Stegostoma tigrinum: one gene and its partner. Each later gene encodes a partner of the first gene's protein in a complex. Links are inferred from orthologs where the notes say so. Each region holds a gene or a part of one and is shown in the gene's direction. Other genes may lie near its edges.

What was found.
Region 2: tent4b (region 1) and zcchc7 share a complex: the UniProt entries of both Homo sapiens proteins name them as parts of the nucleolar TRAMP-like complex. The link is inferred for Stegostoma tigrinum from reciprocal best matches to the Homo sapiens genes TENT4B and ZCCHC7.

What each region holds. Positions count from the first base shown.
Region 1 is NC_081369.1:27,978,657-27,991,520, reverse strand, and holds the start of tent4b (terminal nucleotidyltransferase 4B), read left to right. Parts: upstream 1-6,498; 5' UTR 6,499-6,723; coding exon 6,724-7,172; intron 7,173-12,864. UniProt on the Homo sapiens protein: Terminal nucleotidyltransferase that catalyzes preferentially the transfer of ATP and GTP on RNA 3' poly(A) tail creating a heterogeneous 3' poly(A) tail leading to mRNAs stabilization by protecting mRNAs from active deadenylation.
Region 2 is NC_081356.1:12,260,581-12,273,479, forward strand, and holds the start of zcchc7 (zinc finger CCHC domain-containing protein 7), read left to right. Parts: upstream 1-6,556; 5' UTR 6,557-6,571; coding exon 6,572-6,654; intron 6,655-9,613; coding exon 9,614-10,275; intron 10,276-12,899.

The sequences.
Region 1 (12,864 bases):
CAAGCAGCATCTCAGGAGCACAAAAGCTGACGTTTTGGGCCTAGACCCTCCGAACCAACTTCAGGGAATCTCTCTCCCACTGCAACTCTCTTGTAATCTCTTCACTTAATGTTATTTACTTCAGTTAATGTTTGTCCTCAAGGCTCTCCAAAATCAAGCTGCAAATGTAGCTCACTATGATGTAAAATGGATTCCCTGAGCTTATGTGTTCCACTGATTTGACCTCTTGGAGCTCTCTGATGAAGGGTCTAGGCCCGAAATGTCAGCTTTTGTGCTCCTGAGATGCTGCTTGTCCTGCTGCGTTCATCCAGGTTCACACTTTGTTGTGCCTAATTTCCTTAGTTAGCCATGGGCAGGCCATCTTTCCTGTTTTATTTCTGTGCCAGACAGGAATCAACCATTTTTGCAGTTCCTCCATACAGACTTAAAATGTTTGCTATTGCCTGTCCACTACCATTCCTTTAAATACCGTTCCCCAATTTATCATAGTCAGTTTGTGCCTCATACCATTGTAATTCCCTTTATCTAGCTTCAGAATCAATTACGCCACTTTCCAGCTTAATGAAGAAGTCTTATCCCTTGCACAGCTAGACTGTTAATTATTGATTTGTCATTACACAATACTTAGTCTACAATGGCCTGTTGTCTAGTTAGTTCCTCAATGTACTGATCCAGCAAACCGTCCTGTACACACTCCAGGAATTTCTCTTCTACAGTATTATTACAGTTTGATTTGCCCAATTAATGTGCAGGTTAAAATCACCTATTAGCACAACAGGACCTTAATTGCTTAATTTCCTGCTTAATGCCTTCCCAACATTGCCACTACAGTTTAGGGGTCCATATGCAATCCCAAGTATTGTTTTCCAGCCCCTGGTCCCTCTGAGGCTCCTTGTGCCCAGTCATGAGAAAGATGTAATACACTGCTGTTGATATGGACGTTCTTTTAAGTTGTTGGTTGGTTCACCGAGCTGGCTGGTTTTCATGCAAATGTTTGATCTCTTCGAGGTAACATTGTTAGTGCTGTGTAACCACCGTTGAAGCGCTGTTGTTCTGTCCCACTCTGAATTTACATAGTCTGATCTGTCAAGGTGGGCAGTCTTGTTTCTAGTTTTGGACCATTGTGGCATCTAGGTGGGGTCTATTTCAATATGTTTGTTAATTGCATTGGTGGTTGAAAACCAGGCCTCCAGGAATTCTTGTGTTCTTTTAAAATAATGGATTATCTTCTCTGACAGAAAGAAAGAGGAGAATTGTTGGTTACCTGACATTAATAGGTACAATGGATAAGCAAGACACGCTGCTCATTTTGATGTCACTGGAATGTGTCCGACCTTAGACTGCTCTGGACTGACTCTACAAGTGTCACTTCTGACTTACATGCCCATTGAGGGAGCTACATCCAGCCCTTTTCTAAGAGTTCCTGCAACTTCCCCATTTCCTTCCCCGGCAATCATACCCACTCATTTACGCATCTGTGAATTCTGGCTGAATGTAAAGTCAATCACACACTTGTTGATCAGCAGCTATGTTCTCGAAATGATCCTGTAACTAATGACGCCCCTTTACAACTGTCAATCAGGATTTCTTAATGATACAATGAGGTCCCCCTCTCCTGGTTTTGATGAAAGAGGATCTTCCACCTTACCCAAGTGGCCTGGAGGCATACCTGCAGAGCAGAGTCAGTCTGTGGAGTCAAAGATAGAACAAAAGGAGAGATAATGGGGCTGTGGATTGCAATGCATGATTAACTCATGCCCACCTAATTTGGTTATTACATGCCCTTAAGTGGAGAAGATCTACAGTCCTTGTCCAGTCTGGCCTATTGGTGATTCCAAACTCATACTAATGCGGTTGGCTCTTGACAATCATTTGAAAATGCCTAGCAAGCCATTCAGTTGTTGGCAACTCACCGCCATCCGGGATGTGAAGTTGCAGTGACTTAAAATGGAAACCAAAAGCGCAATACTTCAGATGTTGGAAATGTGATGACCTGAAAGTAATTAAATCTGATGTTTCCCTTAACAGATTCTGCCAGGCCTGCTGAACATTTTCCTCACTATTTTCAGCATCCTCAGTATTTATCTTTTAGTTTTCCGATTTTGTCAGGTGACTGTTGTTTCTGTTTCCACTGCTTGAATGCAGCAGCTTCCCACTGACTGAATGCCGTGATAGGAGCTCAGACTACTGGCTATTAAAGGCTATACAAACTCAATGCTGACATCGTGGTTTTGTATTACATGTTGCAAAGTGTTTGCAAGGGGTCATATCAATAGAGCAAACTGCTGCTGAGGCTTGTACCTATTCGGGTAAGGAGATCTCCTGTCATGGTAGGCGAGGCTGTATGTCATTCTCATGCATCCACTGTGGCCTGTCAGCAGTCACTCTGACATTCATCACCCATCTGCATCTCAGTCAATCCCTCCAAACTACCCAACAACAGATTACAAGAATTTTATTGAAGCATCACCCTGCTAAAAAAATTAGTAACTCCATCAAGCATAAGCACTCTTTTTACTCAGGAGAAAGAACATTTATCATTCCACCTCTGCCACTCCACCAGTGCCATTACTGCTGTCTGTAAGCCAGCTCAGGCATTTGCCCATGTCAAGATGTCACAATCTGAAGTGGGACCTTCTAGGCTTTCAGTTGCTCAAGATTCAAAATTTTCTCTACTAAACATCCATAGCTTCCCAACAACTGTGCTGCAGTCATTGAGGAAGCGTTGCATTTCCAGCACTAGCATAATCTGGCAGGGGTCCCCCAGTGTGGTTTAGACATGGCAAGTTGTATCAGCAAATCAATGGTCTGCTCAAATACAAATGTCATGGTAGCATGACATTTATTGATTAAAATCGAAGTGTATCTTATGTGATTATAAACTGTGATTGATGTATATTTTGAAATATCACTTCTTGTTATGCCTCACTGGGGTGGCATGCTGTAAATCAAGTCCTGCTGTTTCTGGAATCGGCAGAAGTTAAAGGTTGTAAACAAATGCAAAATTTTCCAATTTACTCACCTTTCAGACTCATATTGACAAAGCATGAACTTCTGCATTTAACAAGAAATAATCTATTAATTGTGAACTGTTGATACAACTCTGCTAGCTAAAACACACAGCCCCTTATAAACTACCCTGACACATTCAGTCAGGGATTTAAAAAAAACATAGGCATTATGGTGGATGGAAGGACTGGGAATGTAATTCAATAGTTCCTTTCACAGTTTGATGAGATGTTTCTTGTGCTGATCGGAAGACTGCTTCTTGATCTTCCTTCTCTGGACACTTCCACTTTTTTGCAGGACGCATTGGGGTGACAGGGTCCAATTGAAAACATGATCAATTTAAAAAGTTGCAACTTACAGCAGCTGGAAAAGGGAAAATAAAGTGAAGATTTTCAGGCTTGAGATGCTTCTTATTGCAAAGCAAACAGGACAGCTGCTGTCTTTGCAAAGATCCAGTTGCTTTCCCCAAACATTCACACCCGAAGCCATTCAGCTACCATGAAGTCCATCACAGTTGGTGATAGGAAGAAGGACTTTGTCATCGATAACGGATCACTAGTCCACAGACCAGTTACTTGTTGCCAGCCAATGCTCCACTAATACACACTTCTTGGCTCGAGATCATCTCCAAGCAGAATTCCACTACTGCTTGAACTAGTAGCTATGCACAGTATTTACAATGAATATCAGTTTTTTTTCTAAAAGTGCAGCAATCCTTGTTTTAAAATGTTTAAAATGATTCATTTCTGCCTCATCTTTTAGTCCATGATCAGGAATACAGAAAAATAAAAAGACTTGGTGTTTACATTTTGAGTTTTGGTTTTTGAGTTAGTAACCTGTGGACTTTGCAATGTCTGAAATTAATAATTAAATTCTGTAACCGCATTGATACATTTTAAGAGAGGTTTTGGACATAGCGTTAGAATAATTGGGATTCTGTGTACCACCAATGGATATTTGTTTGGATTGTTTTGCAACTCTGGAAAGTAAATAATGGGGCTGTAAGGTCTCCAAGAGATTTTTTGGACTTGACCTTTTTTTTGAAAAAGCATAAGACCCACAGCTTAGCAAGGCGGATTAAAAAAAATTCCCTTGGAGCCATCCTGTGAAGAACTTAGATGAGGATAGTTGCAGAGACTGGTGCTCTGGAGAAAAACATGGTGAACTAGGTTACCTTTCAGAAAACCCAGTTCATATCCCACTCCTGAAGTTGGGCTAAAACCCAGAGGAGGTTATTTTTAGCAGAGTTTGTTTAAGCTGTGATGTATAATGGCTCTCGAAAGAACTTATCTGTGATTCTTGTCAGTATGTTAAACTGACAAGTGAAATTGTTTGAGTCAGGGACTCTTGCGAGAGTCCTGTGGAAGTGGTATTTTTGGTCAAGGTGTTTTCAGATATCGTACCTTGATGTTTTGAGTGATACAAAAAGAGCTTGGTTTTTTAATCAATTTGTAAGGTCCTATTTAGAATTAGAATTTGTTTTATTGTCATGTACTTACTGCAGTAAGGCAAAATTTAGAAGTTGCCACTTATGGCACCATCTTAGGTACAAAGGTACCGAGGTACACATTCTTAAGTACAAATTTTTTAAGAAGGAAAACAAATAGAAAAATAATAAAAAACAAAAAGTCCAGCATTTGAGATCATGGGAATAAATTACAAGATAAAGAAATAAAAAGTTCAGAATAATTGTCCTTTCAGCCCCAGTCCATGCTGACACCTTGGCTTCACCTCCAGGCTGAGAGACTGCACTGGAATCATCTTGAAGCCAGAAGTCCATGCTGATGCCACACCACACTATCATGCACCAAGAGACTGCCATGTCTGTGCTGAGGCCAGGAGTTCAAGACATCGCTGAGTAGAAAGGGTGGGAGGAGTAGGAGGAGGGCAAGAGAGAAACAAAAATGAGAAAATAGAAAAACAAAGCAGATGACATTTGGCTGATGAGTCTGACTGTGCTGTCATCATGTTTAAGAATCTAGGAATCAGTGGAAGTTTTTTTTACTGAGCATTTTAAATTTGTTAGAACTTGGTTCATTCTATTTTAACTTCATTTCTTGTTAATAAATTTGTTCTGCTGTTAAAGCAGGATCAGGAGCATTGTGTGCTTTCAATGAAAAAACATGCTAAGTTGAAACCAAGACATGATCTCTCAAGCCAAGTTTCTTTTGGGATCTGGCCTGTCTGCGAAGAACATCAGCTAAGATCATAACAATAAATTACACTCCAGCATCATGAGCTATAATGTGAAAACATGAGAGAAGCCACTCCGGTTTGTTCTGATGACTCAAATGCAGCTGGTACAGTGTACTACTGCGTAATTAAGGGGTCACGATGGCTGCCAGGATAATGAGCATTGGCCTGCATGAGTAGTTCAGCTGAATGTCGAGGGAGTGACAGTCCTTTAGATTCCAGCAAAGGGCAAGTTTGACTGGGGCAATCAGTTATATAAAGTTTAAAGAGATAGTGATACTTCTGTGTGCTTTGAGTCTCTAAAGGATACTGTTGGGAAACAAGTTGAACGTCGTTTTAATGTTTTAAGGCTCTTTCTAATTCCCTTTAAATAGCTTTATTTTTGTTTGGTTTAGAAAAATGTATGTTTTGTTCAAGAACATCTGCAGCATTGTGTGAAATCATTGTTAACAACGTAGTTAGTCACCAATGACAAAAAATAAACATATGATCTATCAAACTAGATTTAATTCTGTAATTGACTTGTCCCATGTCACCATTAGCTTCGATTGTGTCGTTGACATTAGTGCCAGTTAAGTACAAGGGTTACTCAACAGTGGTGCACTAAGACATTGCTGAACTACCAGTTTGCATCTTTCACATTTACCTATAATTAAGAACTCAAATGCTGACATTGAATATCTGAAGTGAAACAGAATAGCTTGGAAATCAAAGTAGGTCATCATGTCAGTCATAGCATTGTAATCCAACAACATAGTAAAGGCTGAGTACGAGAAGAATGGGGGGGGACACTGAGGGCCGAGTGCCAGGGCAATGGGGGGGGCAGTGAGGGCCGAGTGCCAGGGCAATGGGGGGGGGGCACTGAGGGCCGAGTGCCAGGGCAATGGGGGGGCAGTGAGGGCCGAGTGCCAGGGCAATGGGGGGGCAGTGAGGGCAGAGTGCCAGGGTAATGGGTGGGGCCCCTGCGGGCTAAGTGCGAGGGCAATGGGGGTGGGGGGGAGACAGTTAAGATGTGCGGTAGGGACAGTGTGTGCAGGGGTGAGAGTGATTATGGAGGTGGGGGGAAGGACAGTGTGTTGATGTGGGGGGCGCGGCATTTCGGGAGGGCGGTTGGACGTCGGGGGGATCTGAGGCGTGAAAAAGACCGTTCGAAAATAAACCGAAAAAAAGAACGTAGGCGCGAGACCCTTTCTTTGTCGCGTAACATCCTCGTCGCCGTGACATCACAACGGGCGGCCAATTGTTGCGCGAGGAGTTCGCAGCTTCCAGCTCGCGAGTCATACGGCGGTCAGGGCACGCTGCGCGCATGTGCAGTGAAGCGTCTGTCGCCATTGCTGTTGAGATTGTTCTCGTTCCGGCCCGGTGACAAGCTGACGGGGGTATCCGACAAGATAGAGGAGCTGACGGATGGTGGGAGGGAGAGAAAGAGAACAAGGTTATTAGAGACCGAGCGGAGGGTGAGGAGAAAGAGAAAACGAACAGACGCTCGTTTTCAGTGAGTATTAACCTCGTCCTCGTTTGATGGATCCGAGAGTAGCCTGGTTTCAGCCAGAACAGCTCGGACCTGCCAACATTTTGTGGATGCAAATTTGGGAAACGACGCAAGGGCTGAGGAATCTGTTCTTTAATAATAACTGTGCGGCGGCAACGGCGACGGCAGCGACGAGTGTGGGCACCGAGACTATGTTGAGGGATAGGAGCAGCCAGGGAGGAGGGGACTTAGGCGTTCAGAGGGATTTCCTCCCACTCGAGCCCAGCGCAAATAACACTAACTTCTCAGCTAGCCCAGGAGAAGGTGGCTGCAGGAAGGGCTACCCCGACAACAGCAATAGGACCAGTGGCACGGGCAATAAGAGGAAACGGGACAACAAGGCAAGCACTTTCGGGTTAAACTACAGCCTCCTGTCTGGAAATGGCCATTACAACGGAACTCCCTGGAAAAGCCGGAACTACAGCGAGGGAGTCTTGGGGTAAGAGTTCTTAATTGATTCTCTTCCCCCCCCCCCAAAAAAAAAGTGGCTTCACGTGATCCTCCTCTCCGTGGATGCTTGGTGAAAGCTAACTCCAGTGTTTGTCATGTCGCAGGAGTTCGCAAATCGTGTTTTAAAGTCAGCTCTGTCAATGCCCTCGTTTATAATGCAGCTAATTCGGTGAACATCATAGATTGTCCACGTGTAAAAGTGGTACTGTCCTAATGAAAATATGACTGAAAAAGTTTATTTTTTGAGTTACAGAAGAAAGAATTTTGCGTTTACTGCTTTTCAAATCACGCATTTGGTGCACTTTATCACTTCATGATGTGTTAGCAATAGAAGGAAAGTTTAGCCATTTTGTAAGACTGCCTGTTTAGGATCATTAACTATACCCATCAGACGCTGTCTTGTAATACAGAGTCCATTTTGTTTAATTACATAAACAGTTTTTATTAATGTGAAATGGCTACATCAACCTCTTGCCCTATTTCATCTGACACTTGGAATGTGTGAAATTTTAGAACGTTCATATTGTTCATTAGTTGACTTTTGCACTGATGTATGGTCTTTGAGTCTAAACAATGTTTAAATTTGTACAGAAATTTTAGTGTTTCAGTTAGCATCTCAAAAATAGGAATGTATTTAATTTACTTCAATTGTGCATCGCTATAGTACAGATGTTTGTTCAAGAGGATAATTGAATTTCTACACTGCAGATAAAAGCCATGGTGCATCAAGTCTGCACTGACTTTCTGAAGAACATCTCAACTAACCCATGGCGGGGGGGACCCATCCCCATAACTGCATTAAGCATGACTAATCCACCTTGCTTATCCATCTATGCGCACTGTGGGACAGTTTAGCATGGCAGTGACCCTTAGCTGCATATCTTTGGACTGTGGGAGGAAATGGGAACATCTGGCAAAAACCCATACAGACATGAGGAGAAAGTCACCCAAGGCTGCGATTGAACCTGGATCTTTGATGCTATGAGGCAGCAGCGCTAACCACTGTGCCACCACGAGACATTGGAAAAAAACTTGTTTCTTTGCCTCTTTATTTTACGATGTCTGCTTTCACTTTGAAACATCACTGTAGGTGATGGCTTTTTTTAAAATATGATTGGTACATTGTGCTTATATTACAAAAAAGTTTTCCCCTCACACAAAAATTGAGAGCAGACATGCATAGTGAATTTCATTCTGCCCACGTGGTTTCCATATCTGTTTCTTGAAGGTCAATATGGGTAAATATGGCAATTTGAGCATGTAGATTTTGGAGTGAGTGGCAAACTGGGGATTTGGAAAGAACATTCCCAAGTGTAGTGCTGAGAATTGGATACAATATTCCCGTTGAGGCCAAAACAGAGTGCTTATAAAAGTTTGCTTTATGTTCCTTAAACCGAGTATCCCACACATCTTAAAACCAACTTTCATAACCTGTTGTCCTGCCATCAACAGATTTGTGCACATGTACCTCTGGACCCCTCTGTCCCTGCACTACTTTTAGCAATGTTTTTCATTCGTTCTATGTTGTCTGTTTCTTCTTTTCCACATGTAGGTTGTGGGGTACCAGTCAATCTGATGATAAACAACCCAGTTTTACAAGGCCAAAAATAATGCTTTTGCATAAACTTGACATATGAGCCTACCTCACAGCAACAGAGTCCCCCACTGCCACCAAATCTTCCTGACTATGATACGCTGTATTCACATTTGCATGGGATTGAGCCGACAGTATAGGCTATGTTGCAGGTTTTGTGGAAATTTGAGATATGTCTACAAAGCAGACCCGTGTGGCAAACCCCTCAAAGGGAAGTAAGACTTTCAACAAAACAAATGAAGTATGCATCTGGATTCAGGCTAAGGATCATACACTTGCTTGTGTCAAATGTGCTATATCGAGGCAGTATTAGTGGAAAACTACTGCAAGCAAGGTAGAAGCAGTAATCATACCTAAAAGAAGATACCCAATAACATGGCATCCCATTGGGGTCACCAACTGAAATTTTAGGGCTATGAGTTCCAAAGCAACATGTCCTCTTTAGACCCTTGCAGTTTTTAAAAATAATGGACACGATTTAACTAACAAATCCTCGAGGTGGTCTTGCTGTGTTGAAAAGACCTGTGCAAAAGTAGATAACCAGGTGTAGTGCTGGTTGAGCACAGCAGGCTGAGCAGGAAAGTTCATGTTTTGGGTCCAGACCTTTCTTCAGAAATGGGGGAGGGAAAGGGGATTCTGAAATAATCAGGGAGAGAGGGGGAGGCGGATGGAAAATGGATAAAGGAGTAGAAAGGTGGAGAGGAGACGGATATGTCAAAGACGTGGGGATGGAGCCAGTAAGGTGAATGTCGGTGGGGAGTTCAGGTAGGTCAGTTCAGGGAAGACGGGCAGGTTAAGGAGGCATCATGAGACTGGTAGGTAGGAGGTGGAGGTGGGAGGAGTGGATCAGTGGGAGGAAGGATGGACTGGTTGGGGGGGGTGGCGGGGACAAGCTGGGCTGGTTTTGGGATGCGGTCGGGGGGAGGGGAGGTTTTGAAGTTTGTGAAATCCCTATTGATACCATTGTACTGCAGGGTTCCCAAGCAAAATGAGGTGCTGTTCTTGCAACCTTCAGGTGACATTGTTGTGGCACTGGAGGGGGGCCAGGATGGACATGTCATCTGAGGAGTGGGAGGGGGACTTCTGCTGGTTTGCGACTGGGAGGTGTAGTCGTTTGTCACAAACCAAAGGGAGGTGTTCCACAAAGTGGTCTCCAAGCCTCCGCTTGGTTTCCCTGATGTAGAGGAGGCCACATCGGGAACAGTGGATACAGTATACCACATTAGTAGATGTGCAGGTGAACATCTGTTTGATGTGGAAAGTCATCTTGGGGCCTGGGATGGGTGTGAGGGAGGTGGTATGGGGGCAGGTGTAGCACTTGTTGCAATTGCAGGGAAAAGTGGTGGGGCTGGTGGGGAGCGTGGAGCGGACAAGGGAGTCATGGAAGAGTAGTCTCCCCAGAAGGCAGACAAGGGTGGGTGAGAAAAATGTCTTTGGTAGTGGGGTCAGATTGCAGATGGCTGAAGTGTCGGAGGATGACACATTGGATCTGGAAGTAGGTGGGATGGTACGTGAGGACGAGGGGGATTCTGTTTTAGTTGTTCTTGCGGGGAGGGGTTGTGAGGGATGAGTTGCGGGAAATTCGAGCGACGTGGTTGAGGGCGTTTTCGAACTCTGTAGGGGGGAGGTTGCGGTCCTTGAAAACCAAGGACTTTTCGATGTCTGGGAGTGGAATGTTTCATCTTGGGAGCAGATGTGGCGGACTTGAAGAAATCGGGAATTGGGGATGGCCTATTCGCAGGAAGGTGGGTGAGAGGAGGTGTATTCTAGGTAGCTGTGGAAGTCGGTAGGCTTGAAATTAATATCCGTTTCCAGGTGGATTCCAGGATACCATTCCAGGAACAATCCCAATTCCGAAGCTACATTGGCCCTATTCCCACCACTTCCTCTGTTATATTGATGACTGTATTTGCGCTGCCTCGTGCTCCTACACATAGCTCGAACAGTTCATCCACTTCACCAACGCCTTCCACCCCAACCTCGAGTTCACCCGGACCATCTCCGATACCCCTCTCTCCTTCCTGGACCTCTCTCTTTCCATCTCTGGCAATCATCTCAAAACTGATATCCATTTCAAGCCTACCGACTCACACAGCTACCTACAATACACCTCTTTTCTCCCACCGTCCTGCAAAAATACCATCCCCTATTCCCAATTTCTTTGCGTCCGCTACGTCTACTCCTGAGATGAGGCATTCCACTCCCGGATGTCCAAGATGTCCTCGTTTTTTGAGGACCGCAACTTCCCCTCCACAGAGGTTGAAAATGCCCTTGGCCGCATCGCTCGCATTCTCACAACTCACCCCTCACAACCCCTCCCCGCAAGAACAACCAAAACAGAATCCCCCTTGTCCTCACGTACCACCCCACCAACCTCCGGATCCAACACGTCATCCTCTGGCACTTCTGCTATCTGCGCTCTGACCCCACTACCAAAGACGTTTTCCCTCCGCACCCTTTTATGTGCCTTCTGGGGAGACCACTCTCTCTGTGACTCCCTTGTTTGCTCCCCACCAGCCCACCACCCCCGGCACTTTCCGTGCAATCGCAGGAAGTGCTACACCTACCCCAACACCACCTCCCTCACCCCCATCCCAGGTTCCAAGAAGACCTTCCACATCAAACCGATGTTCACCTGCTCATCTTCTATTGTAGTATACTGTATCCGCTGTTCCCGATGTGGCCTCTTCTACATTGGGGAAACCAAGCGGAGGCTTGGAGACCATTTTGCGGAACACCTAAGCATAGTTTGTGACAAACGACTGCACGTCACAGTCGCAAACCACTCCACCTCCCCCTCCCACCCCTTGGACGACATGTCCATCCTGGCCCCCCTCCAGTGCCACAACGATGCCACCCGAATGTTGCAGGAACAGCACCTCATTTTGCTTGGGAACCCTGCAGCCCAATGGTATCAGTGTGGAATTCACAAGCTTCAAAATCTCCCCTCCCCTGACCGCATCCCAAAACTAGCTCACTTTGTCCCTGCCCCCACTAACCAGTCCATCCTTCCTCCCGCCGATCCCCTCCTCCCACCTCAAGCCCCACACCCACCTTCTACCTACTAGCCTCATCCTGCCTCCTTGACCTTTGCGTCTTCCCTGGACTGACCTACCCCCATACTAACTCCCCACCTACACTCACCTTTTACAGACTCCATCCCCGCCTTCGACCAATCTGTCTCCTCTCGACCTATTCTCCTTTATCCCTCTTCTATCTGTTTCCCCCTCTTTCCGTATTTAATTCAGAATCCCCTTCCCCTCTCCCATTTCTGAAGAAGGACCTAGACCCAAAACATCAGTTTTCCTGCTCCTCTGATGCTGCTCGGCCTGCTGTGTTCGTCCAGCTCTACACCTTGTTATCTCACATTCTCCAGCATCGGCAGTTCCCACTATCCCTGTGGAAAAATAGATGTTTTCAACTCAAACTCTGGACCGAACAGCAGCAGCAGCCACCAACCCAGGACTGAATACATCATGTGTACAGGGACCATGCATTGACTTGAGCTTGATGAACATGTTTGAGGATGATCCTTGGAAATTGTCAGAACGTTTTCTCAATAATAATTTTTAAAAATTCATTCATGGATGTGGTCGTCACTGGGTGGGCTGGCATTTATTGCCCCATCCCTAATTGCTCAAAGGACAGTTAAGAGTCAACTGTGTTGCTGTGGATTTAGATTAACATGTCGACCAGAGCAGGTAAGGGTGACGGTTTCCTTCCACAAAGGTCATCAGTATGAGTTTTTGTGACAATCGACAATGGTTTCATGGTCGTCATTTGAAGTATTAATTGAAGATTTCTCAAACGGAAATCAATTCCACAGTCTGCTTTGGCAAGATTCAAACCAAGTCCCAAACCATTTACTTGGCTGCCTGGATTTATAGTCATGTGATGTCATCCTGAGACCATTACCTCCCACTATGTACATACACTGTTACGTAAGGCAAAACAAACCCTGAAACCCTGATTCCAACGAAGATTTCAGAGCACAGCCAGACGGTGTACCTGATTTATGAAGCAAATGTGTTGCATTTCAGTAGAATGTCAAAATTGTTCAGGTTGCCAAAAGGCCTTCACTCAACTT
Region 2 (12,899 bases), on another chromosome or scaffold:
ATTGGATATAGGAATTGGGAGGTCATGTTATGGCTGTATAGGACATTACTTAGGCCACTTTTGGAATGTGTATGCAATTTTGGTCACCCTGCTGTTGGAAGAATGTTGTAAAACTTGAACAGGTTCAGAAAAGATATACAAGGATGTTTCCAGGGCTGAAAGGTTTAAGCCATAGGAAGAGGCTGAACAGGCTGGGGCTATTTTTCTTGATGTGTCTATTTCTCCTATACCAATTTTTGAGCTGCACTTTTACCTGGAACATGACAACTGACACTTCCTCTCCCACTTTAGGTTCCTCTCTTCCCAATTAAAGTCATCCTGAATCTTGATACTAGGTAGACAACACAGTCTTTGGAATTCTCTGTCTTTGCCGCATTCCCTAAACATGATGTACCCTGGCACTACTATATTTCTCTTCTCCTCCCTCACTTTTGCCATAGTGCTGTGGTCAGTTTGCTCATTCACCCCACACTCTATGCCTTCGTCCACGTTGGGGCCAAGAACTATTAGCTATTAGGCAAGGAAGAAGCTACTGCAAAGCTAATTACTAGATCCGACTATCTCCCTCACTTCCAGTATTATCCCTTTGTTCCTGAACACAGAGCAAATTTGATATAAGGAGTTTAAGTGTCCAGATACCTCTCACCCTTCCTGATATGCTGCAGCTTGAACTCCAGTTCATCAACTCTGAGCTTAATTTCTTCAGCAGACAATCCTTACAGAATTTCCGGCTTCTCAGATGCTGTCTCATCTGGTGCACTTTTCCAGCTCCACATTAACCCTTGCAGATGTGTTCACCATGGATCACAGCAGCATTCACCAACACCACATACTAAAGCTGCAATGCATTGCCTTCTCAATCGTCTCTATTTTATTAATTAATTTGGGTGTCAAATAATTTAAATGTGAAATTCCTAATGTTCTTCTTCAGCTGTAACAACATCTCCTAATTTAAACCAATTGAACAATCAAAAGAGTCATGAAAGAAATACTCTCCATAATCTGCCCATTTTCCTGTGACATACTTCAGCCTGTACAGATAGAATTAGGTTGAATGGTCTCTCTGTGGTTGGTTATTTATCACCCACTGCTGCTGCTGCCCCTCTCATGCAGGTATGACCTCCCTGCCACTTAACATGAATTTATAGGTGGATTTCCTGGGATTCAACTCATCATGGTTTTACTGCAGAAGTATTTAATTGTCGCTGGAATTTGTTAGAACAGTAAATTGACCACCAGAATCACGTGGAACAAGAATGGCGTCACACAAGAACCAAGCAATGACTCTTAATTCAGCTGCGCTCTATAACTTAACATTCACATTGGGTTTCTTCTCAGTGGGATTATGATCAGAGTAACTAGAAGGGAGGAAATGGTACAGTGGTATTTTCTCTGGAGTAATTACGCAGGTGAATATTCTCAGGATATGTTTTCAAATCCTACCATTGTAGATCATGAAATTTGAACTCAATTATTAAAAAAATACCAATGTTGTAAAAATCCATTGTGCTTTAGGGAGGAAAATCTGTCACCCTCCCCACATATGGTTTACTTGTGATTCCAGACCCACAGCAACTGACTTTTAACTGCCTATGAGATGGCCTAGCAAGCCACTCAGTTCAAAACAGCTTCAAATCTGAAAGTATTGAACTAGATGGACCATCTAGCATTAACTTAAGCACCTGAAATGATAATGGCAAACCAGTTGACCATGAAACCATCTTTGCACTTGTGCCCAAATTGTGATAACTGCCCCAGACAATAGGTTGAAGGTTCCTTATCTGTAAGGTATGATTCTATGGCTTTGGCTATGTCTCAGACACTACCATCGCAATTCCCAGGTTTCTCTCATCTCACTGGAAGGACAGACTCACCAGAGGTGGTGGTAGTACAGTGATATGCAGGTGGAAAGGAATTATTCCGGCAGTCCTCAACATTCACCTTGGACCCCATGAAGTTGAACCAGGGAAAGGAAACTTCCTGTTGACTACCACTTACTTCTTCCCCTTTGCTTATGAAATGGCTCACGTCCATGCTAAACAGCACTTGGAGGAAGCAATGATGATGGCAATAGCACAGAATATAATCTTGGTGGAACTTCAATATGTGTTGGTTGCAGCACTACTGACTGAGTTAGCAGAGTCCTAAAGGTTATAGCTTCTAGCTCGTAGCAGGTGACGAGGGTACTAACAAGAGGGAAAAACTTATTTGACCATGTGCAGATGCAACTGTCCAAAATATCGGTAGGTGTGATAACCACACAATTCTGTGGAGACAAATTCCACCTTCACATTGAGGTTACCTTGCATCATATTATGGCACTGCCATGGTGATAAGGGGCAGGTGACATTTGCGCCACACAAGAGCCAAGTAATGACCATCTCCAACAACAGGAAATCTAACCATCACCCTTTGACATACAGTAGAACAACAGTGGTTGAATCCCACACTATCAAATTCCTGGAAGCTACCATTGACCAGAAACTGAATTGGACCACTCATATAAATACTGTCACTACAAGTGCAGGTCAGAGGCTAGGATTCCAGTAGTGAATGGGCAAACATCTGGCAAATACAGTATAATACGGAAAAATGTGAAATTTCCCATTTTGACAAGAAGAATTAAAGAAGTGTATTATTTAAATAGTGACAGATTGCACAGCTCTGAGGTGCAGGGAGATATGGATTTCCTATTGAATTGCAAGAAGCTACTCAGCAGGTCCAGTAAATGATTAAGAAGTGAATAGAATGTTATAGTTTATTGTGAGTAATAGGGAGTTATGTTTTAGTTATATTGGCATTGGTGTGAGGATAACTACTAAGTACAGTAATACTCTTCTTACTGCAGGAAGGATATAAATTCACGGAAGCAGTTTAGAGAAAATTTCCCAAACTAAAAGCTGGAGCGAGTCGGATAACTTATGAGGAAAGATTGAACAGATTGGCTTATGTCTGCTAAAGACATAACTTAGGGAAGGATGTTTCCTCTTGTGGAAGATTCTAGAATTCGGGATCATCGTTTCAAAACACCCATATAAGACAGAGATAATTTTCTGTTGCCACAAAAGGTTGTAGCTTTGTACAGTTTTCATCCCAGGAAGAGAGGACCTTTAGCCCATTGTGCCCACACCTATAATCAAAATCCCATTTTCCAGCATTTGGCCCATAGCCTTGTGTTCTATGACATTTCAAATTCTCGTCTAAAACTGCCAAAAAATCTTTAGGTTTCATAGCTCCATCGCCCTTTAGGCAAAGACTTCCAGATACCCACAGTCCTACGGGTATTTTTTTTCAAATCCCCCCTCAAACCTCCTGCTTCTTACCTTAAAGCTATGCTCCCTCTTCTATTGACCACTCTACTAAGGGAACAACTTCTCCCTATCTATCCTATCTCTGCACCTCAAAACTCTGTACGTCCCAGTCAGATTCCTCCTTAGCTTTCTCTGCTCTAAAGAAAATAATTTCAGCCTATCTAGCCTCTCTTTCTAACTGAATCACACTGACCTAGGCAACATCCTGATGAATTTCTTTTGCACCCTTTTTTGTGAAATCACATCCTTCCTATGGTGTGACAAACAAACTGCACACAGTACTCTGAGACTTAACTAATATATACAGATCCATCATAACCTCCTATTCTGAGGAAGGGTCACCAGACCCGAAACATTAACTCTGATTTTTTTCACAGATGCTGCCAGACCTGCTGAGCTTTTCCAACAACATCTGTTTCTGTTCCATCATAACCTCCTTGCCTTTGTATTCAATGCCTTGATTGACAGAGGCAAGTATCCCATATGCCTTCTGAACCACTTTATCCAGATGACCTGCTATCTTGAAGGATCTGTGGAAATGTACACCAACATTCCTCTGATCCTTTGTACTTCCTAGGGTTCTACCATTCAATGTGTATTTCCTCGCCTTGTTAGTCCTCTCAAAATTCATTGCCTCACATTTGGTTGTGAGCCATTTGGAACTTTCTTCTTCAAAAGGCAAGGGAAGGAGGGTCTTCAAATATTTTAGGGTAGTGGGAGACAGATTCTTGACAAACAAGGTAATGAAAGGTTTACGGGTAGATGGAAATATTGTCAGACTAGCCATGATTTTACTGAATGGCAGACCAGTCTTGAGGGACTTAGTGGCCTACTCCTGCAAAGTGTCAAGCAAAGCTAGTGCAGAGTGAGGCAATGATACTAGTCACCTGGATACTGTAGTTCATGTCTGCCTTTGGTGGTAAGCTTAATTTTGAAAGGAAGCAACTGAGGTTAAAGTTTAGTACACATACCAGAGGGCAGCTGATCTTTGAAGGAGTGAATGACCATGGTCAGGTAGATAGTAAACTGCATGGAGACTATCATGCAGCCTTGTTTGGCACTGATCTGTACCTTGAAGGCACCTGTTTCAAGACACAGTTGTAGTCATATCATCATGAAGCAGTTGCAGGATTGTGATGACATTTTGTGAATATTCTGGAGTGCAATTCATTGATGGTGGTCACTGGACCCAAAATGTCAACTTTGATTTCTCTCCACAGATACTGCCAGACCAGTAGTGCTTTTCCAGCAATTTTTATTTTTGTTGCCACAAGTTGTGGGGGTGGGCTAGGCAGCATCCAGTGCCTTGAGCCCGAGTCTTATCTATTCCACAGATTTCTTTTTTCTCTTTCACCTTGTTCGTCTTTTCTCAGTTTTTTTTTTAAGTTTCTTCCATACCTTTTGGAGGCCATGTAGACAGTAATAGTGATGGTGTGTGCCAGCAGCTGGGACCCATTGCAAGCGCGGATGGTGACAGCAGTGAGGCAGCAGCTGGTGATGAAAGATGGCAGCAGCAGCAGTGGCTGTGCCAAAAGATGGCATCAGCAATGGCTGGCCATGAAGGATGGTGGCAGCAGTGTCGGCAAAGAGGCGGCAGTCAGAATTGAAGCTTTGTGAGCAGTAGCAAAGGTTGGCGTGCTTGGGCAGGTCTTAGCTCAGCATAGGGGACAGCAAGCCCCCTTGGGGAAGGCCAGCTTGGAGCATCTGCAGGCCCATGGCTCAAGAAAGGAAAGTAACGTTTGACATTTTAACTTTTTTTTTCTACTTTATGGTAAGAAGACTGTAAAAAGCTGAACTTTTTACCTTTGTTTATTTTAGCATTTCTGTAACTAAGATTTTGTACCCTAGTACTTTGAACCTAAGATGGCACAGCGTATGGTGACATTGTATGCTTTTCAATGTACTCTTGTACCCCATACTTGAGTCCACATCGCAACAAAACCTAATTCCTAGAACCTTGCGATTTACTGAGTCAAATACTTTAGGCAAGTCAATAAACATGATGAAGAGTTTCTCATTTTGAGTTCAACATTTCTCGTGGATCCGTCAGGTAAGAAAAACCATGCCAGAAGTTCATCTGGACAGCCTAAAGGCTCTCTGCATCTCTGGGAGGATTTTGTCAGGCAAAGAAATCAGCATCAGGATTTTAGGCATGTTAAGATATTCCCTGCTATCGACAACAGGGAACTACCTTGACAGTTGTCTGGCATTATCAATCTCCCGTATTGAAAATAGTTATAAAATAGTCACTTTCCTTGGAGGGAGGTGGAACAGATTCTGTCAATTCCAGAGGATCAGTGACTGGAGTCTTGATGCGAACAAAAGCCTATCAGCTTTGAAGACCTCTGCTGGAATACCTTTGGAGCTGTAAGTTTTGTTGTTCTTCATCTATTTAATTGCTTGCAGTAGCTTTCCAACTGATAGTTATTCACCCATGGATTCTACTACAATGTACAGGCAGAGAGCCTGGAGAGTACTCCGTCACACTTTGGTTTCATAGTTGAGATGTTGGGAATGTTCCTTCTAGTGTTTATAGGTGTCACTGACATATTTGACAAAGACAGACATCACTCTGTAAATGAAGAGGATTTTTTAAATATTTGATCTGTGTATAGATGGCCCTGATGGCTTTAAAAAGGTTTTGCATATTGTGACAGGGGTCATGTTGATGGATCACTCGGGTTTTCTCTTCCCACCACAAGAACCGGGTTCATGTTCCACTTGCTCCAAAGCTGTGTGATAGCATCTACACACACTGACTAGAAGTGTCTATAAATCGAATTTAGCGTTGCCTTGTTTACATTGATTATATCAATTTTCGCTGGAATGTGATTTGAATCCACAATTTAAAGTGTCATAATCCAAAATACCGTGCCAATTTTTCGCTTGAAAAAGTTGCTGCTTTACTTGCTTGAAGGAATGAAAAGTAAATTGTGCCACACAGTATCGAGAGGCTTAAACGCCTGTGTGGTACCGCGCTGCTAATAGTAATCTTGCGAAAGAGCCAACGCAGGGAAAATTCATAGCCGGCCAGCTGGATAAAAATTTGCGGAAGCTCTTTTCTCCGCCGGCACAATATCTGAGGCGTTCGCTGGTTTTAGTCGGCCAGCTGCAAATGTGCAACTGTTAGAGCCAGGAGCTTTGGGCAGTTTCTTCCTGATGTAAACAGGCTGGTGCGTACTGAGTAAAACTTTCCGGCAAAACGGGCTGTTAAAAAGAAGAGACACGAGGAAACTTATGGTCGGCGCCGGAGAAGATACATGAAGGCAGCCTGTCAGGGTGCCGGGCCGAACAGGGAGCCGTTAGAGTCCCAGGGCCCTGACGACTCCTTCAACTTTGTCCGGTACCTCTCACGAACCTGCACGTGCTGATCTGCCGCGTGCGTCCGTGAGCACGCGCTGGGAAGCCAGGCACCCCCTTCTAGGGACAGGGAGACAATGGAGGTGGTCACGTGCCGCTAAGTTCCCGCCCGCCCCGCGCACCTGTATTCGCTGTCACTCCCAACTGAGGGCTCGTTGATATCCGCTCGCCCCGAGTCCAAGGAGGCCCGAATGGCCTCCTTTCCCATTAGCTATATCGTGACTCACACCATGCCTTGAGGACTGGTTAGTCAGTTGCCCTCCTGGATGAGGTGCCTTCCTGCTGAGCTTTTCCAGCAACTTGTATTTTTGCTCCTGATTTACAGCATCCGCAGTTCTTGTGGTTTTTCTCTCCAAACTATTCCTATTCAAGTGCCTGTCGAAATGTCTTTTAAATGTTGTAATTGTACCTGCATCCAGCATGTCCTCTGACATTCATTCCATACACACACTGCCTTCTGTGTGGGGGGGAAAGTTGCCCCTTTTAAATCTTTTCGGTCTCGTCTTAAACCTATGCCCTCTAGTTTTGCACTTGCCCCACCCTAGGTATTTATCTTATCTTTGTCCTTTATGATTTCATAAAGCTTTATGAAGTTACCCCTCAGCCCCTGATGCTCAAGAGATAAGGTCCCAGCCTATGCAGGCTCTCCTTTAACTCAAACCCTTCAGTCCTGGCAACATTCTTGTAAATCCTGGCCTATCCACTTTATTTTTGATAAGTATCCTAAATCATCTGTCTTAAATGTGTGACTCCTTATTCTGAGATTATGTCCTGTGGTCTGAGACGTTCCCACAAAGGGAAACATTTGCATCTACCATGTCAAGACCTCTTAAAAATCTTGCATGTTTCATTCATGTTGTCTCTTTTTTTTTAATTCAACAAGTACAGATCTAATCTATTCAATCGCTCCTTGTAAAGCAGTCCTCAGGGATAAAAGTTGTGTTTCTCCTGTTGTTCTGAATCTTCTTCTTAGGTTCAGGAGTCTGCATACCTAGGTATGGCTTTGTATGCAGTTTGAAACGTTCTGGCTTTGGTCCCTGAAGTTTGAGTATCCTCCAAAATGGTATGCTTTGGCTACTCAGCAATCACTACTTCATGTGTCCACTGGGCTGCAAAGATAATTAGAGTCAGATTCACTAAATGGTGGTGAGGTGAGATGAGGTTTTGAGAGACACTGATGCATTAGCTATTCTCTCACTACACCTGAATCTGTGGCCAAAAAGCCACCTCTCAACTTCCTACACTCCAGTGGAAAAAAAAGTCCCAGCCTCTCCTAATAACTCAGACCCTCCAGTCCAGGCAACATCCTTGTAAATCTCCTCTGAACCCTCTCCAATTTAATAATATCCTTCCAGTAGCAGAATGACAAGAACTGTACACATTACTCCAGAAGAAGTCTCACCAGTGTCCTGTACAACCTTAACATGAGATCCCAACTCCTTTACTCAAAGGGCCAAACATCTCCTTAACCACTCTGTGTACATATGACACAAATTTCAAAAAAATTTGTACCTGAACCCCTAGGTCTTCCTGGTCGGCGCTACCATTAATTGTATAAGTCCTGCCCTTGTTTTACCAAAATGCAATACCTTGCATTTATCCAAATTAAACGCCATTTTCCACTCTTCAACCCATTGCCTGAATAGCTCAAGATCTCTTTGTAATTTTAGATTACCTCCTTCACTGACCACTATACCATCAATTTTGGTGTCATCTGCAAGCTTACTAACCATATCTCCTAAATTCTCAGCCAAATCATTTATATAAATGACAAACAAAAGTAGACCCAGTACCAATTCCTGTGGAACACCACTGGCCACAGGCTTCCACTCCGAGAAACAACTCTACACCGTCACTTTGTCTCCTACTGGCCAGCCAATTTTGCATCCAGTTTGGCAAGCTCACCCTCAATCCCATGTGATATAACTTTACTCATTAGTCTACCATGCAGAACTTTGTTTACTTGGACTTTAGTAAGTATTTGACAATGTCTACTGCTCTGCCCGTATCCATCTTCTTGGTTACTTTCTCAAAAAAACTCAATCAGGTTTGTGAGAGACGATTTCCATCACACAAAACCATGCTGACTGTCCCTAATCATTCCTTGCCTCTCCAAATGCATATAAATTCTATATCTTTCAGAATCACTCACCCACTGCCAAAATCAGACTCTCAGGCCTGTATTCCCCAGGCTTATCCTTATGTAAATAATCTTATTTCTGTCAGCTCCTAGTATTAAAACTATATTCTAAACTTACTTCTTTCTTCTGTTTATGCTGCAATTCATCTGGCTTTCAAACTCACTTGTTTTAGTTTCTAGTCCCATCTCAGTGTCTCTCCCCTCTGAACTACTTGTCAGCATCCCATCCCCCTACCAATCCAATTTAAATCTGCCCCAAAAGCATTAACAGATCTCCCCTTGAGTATGTCTGCCCTGTTCCTGTTCTTCTTCTACTGCATTAGATTTTACCTTAAAAGCATGCAGATACCCAGGCCCAGATAGTTTCCACTTGAAGATATTACAAGCAATAGATGTAGAAGTTGTGCAAGCGTGGGTTATGATCATTCAAAACTCAATACTTGGGGATAGTACAAGAAGATTGGAAGTAGAAAATGTCTTAATGTTTTTCAAAAAACAAGGCAGGTTAAACCAACAAGCTATAGACCACTGAATTTAGCATCAGGGAAAAAAAATACAAATATTTGGAAAAAGTGTATGATTAGGAAGATTCAAATTGCTTTGTGAAATTTGTGAGTAGATTGTACCCAAATAGCCCAACAAAGAAAAAAATCACTAGCGATTTGGATTGGGAATGTGAGGTTGTGCTCAAGATTTTTAACTCTGCTTTAATTTTGTCATGCCCATTCTCTGATAGCAGTATTTGTTTTCCCAAAAAAATTGATATTAGTTTTTAAAACCTTTTTTGTTTCTTTTTATACAGAACATTTTCTCCTTTGACAATGTTTGCTGGTTATGAAGATAAAGAGGCCTATGAAGATGAACTCTATCGTGAGGAGTCATCCAGTGATACTGGAGTAGATAGTGATTTAGAGTTCCAGCTGTACAGCCAAGTGCACTATGCGAACAACCTCAATGGACAAATGATGGATAGAAAGATGGACTCAGCCCATCCAGACTCTGCTTCAGTTGAAGACAATGGAAAATTGACACAGGAAACAAAAAACGCACCTGTACCTTCTGGCAATGATGTCATAGTCATTTCAGATGATCCAGATATCATTATTCTGTCAGATACTGAAGATGACGATAGTGTATATGCCTGCAAAGGTGTTAAGCCCTCAAATTGTGAACTCCTTGGAAGAAAAGATCAATCCATAGAGAAGTCTGATCAAGTGTCAGCTGAATACCTGGAGCCAAGTGTGGGTTGGCTGACCGAACTGCAGAAATTGTCACAGAACACGGACAGTCTGAGCAGAAAGTTGCCACAGAACCCAGCAGTGATTAAAGGAGGTGAAAATTCAGAAACAGAGGATGATGAAAATGTAGAGAGTTGGATGATGCTGGGCCATGATCAGGAAGAAGAAGATGATGATGAGATCCAACTCAACGTTGTAGGTTGCGGAACACTGAGAAACGAAGAAGGTAGGAATTTTGATGGTGTATCAGAGCATTTACCATACTGTTATGGCAAGTATTTCTGTGTAGTAAGCTAAGGTAACATTTCTCTGCTTTGATAACAGTTTTGTTTCAGATAATAGGCTAGTTGTTGAATTCTTGCCATTTAAAAATGTTGAAATCAAGCAATTTCATAATGAAGCGTAGTACCTGCTCACTTGCCAGAAAAACATAATGTTTTGCATGCCATAACAATAAAGAAGTCACATTTTGAATCACAATTGTAAATTAAATGTAATAAAGTTGTTTTCAAATCTGGTATTTCAGACTATTTAAAGCTAAATTGCACAAAACACGTGAAATGTTACGTGTTAATAGTATTAAATGACCAAGAAAATTACTCAGCCAACTGCCAATGCATATATTTGGACCATTCCTTTAAAGACCCTATTTGTTTGGCTATTTGAAGTATTTAGCAGAGTATAGTCTGAAATGTTGATGTGTTGGAGGTTCAAGCATTCCACCAGCCTTACTGCAGACTTGAGATCTTACACTGAGGAGAGGCCATTCAGGTGCAATTACTGTGCTAAAAGGTTCCGCAGTTTATCCAAGCTAACTGTACACCAGTGAACTTGCATTTGGGAAAGAGCATTCACCTGCTCCATGTATGTGAAGAAATATGCTCAGTCGTTCAAAACCCATTTTACTGATTAGTTGAGACCAGAAAATACTTCAATCTATTACAATATTTGACAAAAATCAGTTAAAATATTTGATACAGGTAGAAGGTATTTCACAAATACCAAAGCTTTACTTCAATGGTTATTATTTTCATATGTGATTAGAAAGGTCAAACTCATTCCAGGACTTGAGTGTATAATATCATTTAGCATGTTAGTGCATTATTCAGGGATTGTTTGCATTGTTTGGCATATGTGTTGTGATTATCAATAGATTAGTAATTAGAGAACTAGACTATAATTCAGTTTAAGAATTTGATTTCAGCTTTTCTTTGTAAAGGGAATAAAAAGCTGAGAAGTTGGTGGATTTCTATAAAATTCAAACTGATTCCTTAATATTCCACAAGAAAGGGAACTTGCCATCCTTATTCAGTGCAGCCTGTTGCAGTTCCAGTCCTACGCTAGCATAGCTCTTAACTCCCCACTGAACTGGCCAATCAAGCTATTCAGTGTATCAACTATTACCAGTGGTTTAAGAAGGAGAACCTGTCCTGCCTTTTCAGGACAACTAACCCAAAAGTGAATTGTATGGTGCTCTCAACACAAGAATCAATTGGGGGTGGGGAGAAAGAACTTGCACCAGACATTAAATATTATCATATATCTAATATTGCAATTAAAACAGTTGCACTAAAACTTTATGGTCAGTATGAAATGATTTCATTTTGTACTGATTCTAGGAAATTGAAGTATTGCAGCTATATTTTCAACGAAAAGCTGCTTTGCTTCGGTGTCATGTTTCTGATGTAAATGGAACTTAAGTGTCATTAGAAATCAAAAATCGCATGTCTCTTTAGATAATAGAAGCTAAATTTTAACATGCAGTGTAGAAACGTAGCCCATCTGTCTAACTCTTAGTATTACCTGTATCATTTTGACATGATAGTTGTGTTTCAATTTTTAGGTCACAAACCGATTTATTTTCCTACCTCAATTTAAACATTCCACTTGTTTGATTCAGATTTAGTATGTTTATATGTATTAATTGTTGTAAAATCAAGGGGGGATTTCTCAAAATAAGATGAACCAAAAATTTATGTCTTGTTTTAGCATGCTATTTCATGATTTTGTTTTGATGGTGTTAATCTTCTTTTGGAAGCCTTAAAGTGAGGATTTTCAAAGGGAGTTATAACACCTGTTGTCTGATAAGAGATATTATGGTGTTACTGTGCAGAGTTTACTATTCGTTGGTTCACGTATAGTGCATTTTTCAGTTCAGGATATTTTGAACAGCTATGTTTATCCAAACAATCTAGAAGACAAATATTCAACTTTATTTAGGTGTAGCCATTAAATTACCGAACATTGAATTTTGCACAAAATTAGTTTACTTTATGATGACCAACAGGGATTCTTGATTATATTTGGAGCCAAATTAAAGTAATGTTGAATGTTTGTCATTCAAAATGGAAAACCATGACCTGAATGGAGGACATTCAGTTTTCTTGGGAAAATCAATTGCACTGTAACTTATTGTTTCAATTTGATTTTCCATCTGCTCTTAAACTGGAAAGTGAGTTTAAACTTTTGTGCCTTCAAGCTGTTGTCCATGTCGGTCATCATAACTTACTGGTTGTAATTTTCCCCAATTTAGTTAAGCATTTTTGTCATTACAGTCCAATGGATGCTGAAAAGTTAGAGCACTTGATATTTTTAAACCTTGTCCTCTTACAGTAGAATGAAATGTCTGAAACTGTGTGAAGAAACTAATTTTTTTTATTTGAATGAAAACCTAAGAAAACATTATGAACCATGGAATTTAGAAAAAAAATTGCTCACATCAGTACTGACCATTCATAGGATTTCCAGTTTATAAGTCTGCCCCAACTGTTTTCAAAGTGGTAAAGCAATTGATGGCAGCCCATGAATTTTTGTATGTATTTATGTATTGTGATCATTGGTGAACTGATG